2 linked regions of the Drosophila melanogaster genome follow. The protein of the gene in region 2 interacts with the protein of the main gene of each other region in a pairwise test. Each region holds a gene or a part of one and is shown on either strand. Other genes may lie near its edges.

What was found.
Region 1: the proteins of CheA87a (region 2) and danr interact in a two-hybrid assay, tested with the Drosophila melanogaster proteins (one large-scale study listed by BioGRID).

Annotation. Positions count from the first base shown.
Region 1 is NT_033777.3:25,135,740-25,139,671, forward strand, and holds the start of danr (distal antenna-related), read left to right. Parts: upstream 1-2,332; 5' UTR 2,333-2,493; coding exon 2,494-3,753; 3' UTR 3,754-3,932. UniProt on the Drosophila melanogaster protein: Probable transcription factor with a role in the retinal determination (RD) network. Regulates ato expression and is required for normal R8 induction and differentiation.
Region 2 is NT_033777.3:13,367,471-13,370,906, reverse strand, and holds CheA87a (chemosensory protein A 87a), read right to left. Parts: upstream 1,260-3,436; 5' UTR 1,239-1,259; coding exon 1,008-1,238; intron 952-1,007; coding exon 631-951; 3' UTR 577-630; downstream 1-576. Other genes in the region: Lip3 (lipase 3), read left to right, coding at 1-118, 196-576; Dic1 (dicarboxylate carrier 1), read right to left, coding at 2,214-2,655, 2,746-3,146.

The sequences.
Region 1 (3,932 bases), about 12 Mb from region 2:
TTCCATAAATATACTCACAAGTAAATTTTTAGCAAACGGAATCTTCACACTCACAGTCACCTTCATAGCGTATTCCATTAACTTTAATTGTTTTCTAATTTTACAAAATGTCGGTGATCATTATTCGAATTTTAATGAATGGTACAATAAGTTACTTAAGACTTACACTAAGTTACAGAATATATCGCTGAAGGCACTGGCAAACGAAGATTCCATTATATCCACGCACCCATCAGATATTTTATTTGCCGCCAAAGAGTTAATATTATTTATTTATTATTAAATTGATTGCATTTATTCCCATTGATGCCCCCGAATAGTTATCTCTTTTTAGTTTAAAGTTAAGATAAGGCATGCAGTATATATTAAGATATATACTTATATGGGTATGTGCATTTGACGTATGCGTTCAGAATTAGTTTAATAAGCCTTCGACTGAAACAAATTATGTATATAATAACAATAAAGTGTATGTACAAAATGTAAGGGCTAACTGCCAACATAGGTTATGTATATATTTAAATTTGTATGTATGTATAAATTGAGACTTAAAATAAATACCGTTTCCTCATACTTATACTGCAAATACTTATAAATCTAATGCAATTTGATTTTTCCATTAAATGTGCACTTATTTTGACTTTATGTATCAGAAAGAGTATCTCAATGCGGTATGTCAACAAATTGTTAATTTTAATCGATAATTACGATTTGAGTACGCTTGCAATCGTTTATTTATTGTGTAGGTTTCATATTTAATTTAAAACAATCCATTCATTTTAAAATACAGTTTTGTGACAAATAAACTTGAATGAAAATTGTTTAATAATAAATAATGATATAGTTATAACATACAGCAAAACGGAAATTAATCAATACAAGTAGATGTAATCTAATAAATTATAGTTAATAGAAAATTTATTTAAATATGTGTAAATCAAACATAAATACTAAAGGCTACTTACTTTCTAAACTGTGTCTTTTAATAACACAATAAAAAAGTATTAAAAAAGGGATGTGTGATATTATTTAAGGAGAATATTGAACGGATTAGCATTTCTAAAATGATTATTTTAAAGTGTACTTAGCCAATTTTCGCAATTTATAATATGATTTGGTATATTTACCAGGCTGAAAGCTTTTAAAGCAGTTCTTCTTCTAGAATGCTGATAGTTTTCTCGAGATTGAAAGCTTTTGTTATTTTTTCTTTAGTGGACGGCGCAGACGCATTAATAGTTTAAACAATAATTAAACGACGAGATTCATTGAGACATTATAATCCATTTTAATAACAATAACAGTGTTTGACAGCATATACATAGTTCTTTGGATTAGGGGTAGAATCAAAGAATTACAATTAGAAAGGTGTTCCAACAAAGGTGTTATGTACATTACGTACGTTTTTAGTATACAGTCGCAATCAAAAAATTAGAAGTGATCCATAAATAATATATTTATATGAATTACATCGTTTTATGAAGGTTAAAACAATTTTGTGTGCGAATAATCATCAGCAAAGAACTATGCAAGTTCTCCATATAAGGTATGTGCTATTCTTTTATATTATTGTACTTCGTGAGCACTTATACATATAAATAAAAATATTTAAAAAAACGCAGTGAATTCAAAACTTGTGTTAATAAGTTTAGCCTGATCACCTTTTAGTCTATATATTTTCTATTATCTTCATAAGATAAGGGTGCAATGAAAATATTTACCACAAATAACGGACAAAGAGTACTCATGGAAATTAGTGCAAACACACAGATGGAGAGTGCAAATAATATAGAGTGGAATTGTGTTATTCTCGGTAGATTCGCAACCCAAAAGTGCAACCAGGTCCACGTCCGTATCAGATCCGCTCACGCACATGCGAATGCGAGAAGGTTGGCCAAATACACGCACACACACTTTCGCAGGAGGGAATGTTTATGGGAGGTAAATAACTGGTTTTTATATAAACACACGGGCACATACACACACACACACGCAGCCACGTGGAGGAGCCGATTTGGAAATGTGCATCCTGCATGCTGAATATCTAGATCCACAACACCACCACACACATACGCAGCCCGCGAAGAGGGACGCGAATGATGGTCAGGACATCAAACCCGTTAAGAGAGCCGAACAGAGCGAATTTCGTGAGCAGGACATGAGTAACAAGTTGTTGCACTGGTGGGTGGTGGGTGCGCGCGCGAGAGAGAGAGAGAGAGAAAGGTGAGAGTGGCGCTTTGCTCCGATTGGTCGAGAAAAAGCGAGAAAAACGTCATGCCGTTCTCTTCGCCGCAAAATCATCGGATCATCTCGGCGGTCGCCGTTCGCCTGTCGCCGTTCGCAGTTCGCAGCTCGCCTTTCGCGGAATCGGATTCACAATCACATCCTTCTGCGAGTTCGAGGAGTGCACACCGGTGGTCGCATCCGCAAAGTCCGCGCTTCGAAACCGCTATCGTAATCGCAATCGCTATCGCCAGCGCAACCAGAAATAGAACCATGGATATCTCCGCCTACCAGCACATGAACATCCGGATGAGCACGCGCGGCAAGCGTCCTCTGAGGAACCTCACGCCCAACGACAAGGTGCGTGCCATCCAGCGCATCCACAATGGTGAAACCAAGGCGAGTGTGTCGCGGGACATCGGAGTGCCGGAGTCCACGCTGCGTGGCTGGTGCAAGAACGAGCAGAAGCTGCGCTTCATGTGCCGCCAGCTGGGCCCCGATCACCTGGGTCTCGACACGCCACCGGAAAAGCGCGCCAAGTTCGAGCTGCAGCTCCAGCTGCCACCGAAGTTCGTGGCACTGCCTCCAAACTACGAGGAGCTGGGCTTCGGTGCACTGCCCTACAGTCCAGCCGATTACCCAGTGCAAAATGAATCCCTGCTGGAGAAGCTTAGCCTTGTGGAATTTGTAAAAAAGAACGGTGGATTGCATCCGGAGGGTGCACTGCATCCGGGTCAGGCCGGCGTGATGGACTACTCCAACAACATGCTGCACCAGCTGAATCTTCTGGCCCTGCTCAACTCCAAACTCACCCCACAGACTGCCGATGTCCTGGTAGATGCACAGCCGAAATCAGAGGACAACAAAGTGATTGATTCGCCCGCTGCTTCCGAGGATTACAGCAAAAACAATTACCCCTTGCTGAGTGTTAAGAACTGGGCCAAGGATCCGGCCAAGCGGGTGAACTCCGCCAATCAGCCGGAGCAAGTGAACGATAAGAACAACAATGCCCTGGAGGCCAACAGTTCCGCACCACAAGCTCTTGTCACGGAGCAGGCGAAGACTCCCATGTTCTCGGACACCACAATGCCCCTACTGCCAGCACCCTTCCCGAATCCTGCGGATCTAGCGCCTGTGATAGCACCAGTGACTCCGGCAAACGCCCCGCCCACTGGAACCGATAACCAGGGAGCGGCTCTGCTCGACTGGTGCAAGCTCTTCAATGCCAGTTTGAACTTCCTGGCCTTCGCTGCGGCCGCAGCCTCCATGCAGCCCGGCGGCGGAGGACCAGGTGGACCCAGCTACAATCCCAACCAAATGGCCAGCGGCGGATCGGAGCCGGATCTCGAAACATATCCTTTCAACGAGGCGCTACTAAAGCGACTGAGTCCACTGGCGCACAGTGAGGCCTCCAACGAAAGCTACTGCGACAGCGAGCCGGAGGATCTGTCCGTGCGCTCCTGCGCCTCCAAGGCGTCCAGCAGATCCCACACTCCCGACAAGAGCGTCGGGTCCAGCGACGCCGAACAGTAGACACCCTACATTATAGCATAGTTGTAGTTGTAGTTCATAGTGTAAATACATCCATTTTTATTGTTATTAGCCACCTTTAGTATTAATGAAACTCGAATCATTTCGCAATGCAAATGCCATTTGTACTTATCAATTAACGTATTAATATCACTGCAACAGGTATTAATAGCTCAGCATAC
Region 2 (3,436 bases):
CAATAAGTTCAAGCAGGATTTGGGCATAGAGATGTGCCAGGCCACTTCTCCTTATGCCGACATGTGCGCCAACGAGATCTTCCTGATTGGAGGCTATGATACCGAACAGCTGGACTACGTAAGTATCTGGAAATGAACTTGGTCCTATAAATTATATTTCCATGTAACTTATAATGCTGCTCTCCATTTGGTCAGGAACTCCTTGAGCACATCAAGGCCACGTCTCCGGCTGGCGCATCGGTGAACCAGAACTTGCACTTTTGTCAGGAATATAACTCTGGAAAGTTCCGTAAATTCGACTACACCGCTCTCCGTAATCCCTATGAGTACGGCAGCTACTTCCCTCCGGATTACAAGCTAAAGAATGCCAAGGCCCCGGTTCTATTGTACTACGGAGCCAATGACTGGATGTGCGATGTGAGCGATGTCCGCAAGTTGAGAGACGAACTGCCCAACATGGCGCTGGACTACCTGGTGCCGTTCGAGAAGTGGGCCCATCTGGATTTCATTTGGGGCACTGAGGCCAGAAAATACGTCTACGACGAGGTCTTGAAGCAGATGCAATCCTACGAATAGATTTATTTTTCAGGCAATAAACGGAGCATTTGAGCTAGCAAATTTCGAGATTGATTAGTTCTCCTCCAACTCCAAATCCAGAACGTACGATAATATTTTAGTCTCTTCATTCTTGAGGGTATACTTTATGCGATAGAAGCCCGGACTCATCAGCTTTTTGAGCAACTTGACATTGAAGGGATAGTCCTCTAGTACATAGCGTTCCTTGGGCAGAGGACAGCTGCTGGGATGCGGGGCATTCGAGTATTCCTTGATCCGTTCGTAAAAGATATCCTTGTAGTAGCTCTTCATAAAGTCGCAAAGCTGCATTTCGAATGTCAAAACCTTCTCGTAGTCTCCATCGCTATCCGGGGATCTTGAAACCTTAAGCACAACCTGTTGAAGGAATAATAAATAATTAATTCCTCCACTATATATTATAAACTACGTACCGTCCAATCATTGTCGAGTCGTTGATTCAGATCGAGATATCCGCTGACTTTCAACTCATTTTCCTCGGACTCAGCGATACGCAGACGACTGCGCAGATATGAGGTATCCTCAGTCACCTTTTCTAATTTCTGGATCCTGAATGTCCTTTTAGCCTGGACTGTAATATTACTGGTTAGGACGATAATTGCCAAGACCGCCAGATAAGAGACGGGACATAAAGAGGAGCCCATTACGATACTTTGACGACTGATGGCTGATCATTCGTTGTCATTGGTATATAAGGATTTAGATAGATGATCGCTTGTACCGGAAACGAACTTGTTTCGGTTATTCCCAGAAATGGTTCATTGATATCAAAACGCGATCCCTTTGTTTTATTAAGCTATTGCACAGTTATATTTAATTGCCAACATCACGAAATATACGATTGAATTCACTTTAAGGACGGTACACCTATGAAATAATTATTACCCTTCATTTTCTTTTAACTGATTTAAAAAAAAAATCGAGCTGTTTTAAATTCTGAGCACCTTATTTTAATCCTTCTTACGTCTTGGGATAACATTATTAATTTTAATTTATTTGTTTATAGAAAAACAAAGACTATTTACATTTCGTAGAAACCGTTTGTCCTTTTTTTTATTTATTTATTGAATGGCCGATTTTACACATAAAGCAACAACAAACAAATGCTTAGCCATTGTTAACAAAATATTTATAATTAGTAACAGCACGACAATGACGATGGAGTACGATAGAGTCAACCTTTACCTTCTATGCCCACACCAATTAGCACAGAATATATTTAATGGTCTACCTTCTGTTTAATTGCTCTTAGCTTAAAGTTTGTTCAAAATCCAGTACAAATATACATATTGTTATACGCAGTGGAAAGATATTATGTTTACTTTAAACAAGCAAATTGCGAAAAAATCGACACTATTTAAGCATTAATATTCACGGTAAATGAATACATTTCTGTATTTTATTAAAAAGTATATATTTCGGGATAGCGGGCATTGAACGCTTAACAACAAATATTTTGCTAGCATAAAAGCATCTTGGTTAACAACTGGAACGGGCTAAAGCTAAGTTATGTTCTACACGGTGAACGAATTGCTGCTGGAATGTTGCATTGCTCAAGGGAATCTGCCAGCCAGCCAAGGAGAATTATTGCCTAGTTAAGGTATCGATTGGCATCGCGGCTAATTCAAGGTGCCAAACTTGAGACGCAATTGCTCCAGGAACACAAAGGTGATGATCGTGTGTGGACCCAGACGCACAAATGCCGGCACATAGCCCTTAAAGAAGCCGAGGGGACCCAGTTTCGCCGTGTGCTTCACGATGTCCCACAGGCCATTGAACTCGCCGGGTTTCGCGTTCATGGACCGCGTCTTCAGCACATCCAACGGTTGGGTGAGAGTGGTGGCTATCGTTCCGGCCACCAGGGAGGCGGTGAAGTGCGTAACCAGGTTGTCTTGGAAATAAGGCGTGGCCAGCAGGTAGATCTTCGTCTGGTCGTAAAATGCAATTTGGCCAATCGTCATCAGGATTCCACGGGCAGTCGCTGCGGTGGCTCCAGAAAAGAGTCGCTTGAATCCCTCCTGGCGGTAGACCCTAACCAGTCCATCGAAGGCATTATTGTAGCTGAAATACAAAAAATCAGTAAGTTTAAAGCCTCAAAAATGATTTACCCTGCAAACTACTATTTAAAGGATTAAAATAATTTTCACATACTTGCGTCGTTGTTGCGGCGGTAGTTTTACGTCGTTCTGCATGCGCACATTGACCATGTCAGCCGGAGTTCCAACGATTCCTCCGACGAGACCGGATGCACCTGCCAGGGCCACCTTGCCGCCAAAGCTGTCCGTATTGACGTACTTCTTTCCGGCCTCATACACCCCGAATCTCGCAGTGGAGTATGTCAATTGGCGCAACACTGAGGCGGAGAGGCCGTTGTAGAAGACGAGTACTCCCTGTTCGCGGGCGAGTTTAGGGATCAACTGGGCCACCGACAGGTGACCCTGTTGCGTCTGCAGCGTGACCTTGATGAGGTCGAGCGGATGGGTCACCATGGCCGCACCTACGCTCGCCAATCCGCCAAAGAACCACATCGATTTTCTCTCTTGGTGGGGCATTTTGCGTGTTAGTTATCTTTAGCTAGAAGGTGGTAAAAGATACAAATACATATGTATATTATTTGGATGCCAATTGATATGATTTCCTATACCTATTGCAAATGTGATAGATAGGGCGGCTAAGTCGTTTCTTTTGCGATGGGCGGCATTTTCAGTGGGTCGGCTGTGTTATGTCATGCCGGTGGGTCTATAAGGAACTGACGGAATTGAAGGACCCACAGTTAAAACATCTGGGCGGTTGCGCGAAAGCTTAGCTTGAAAGCTTTCGTCGGAAATATTAATAACTGTTG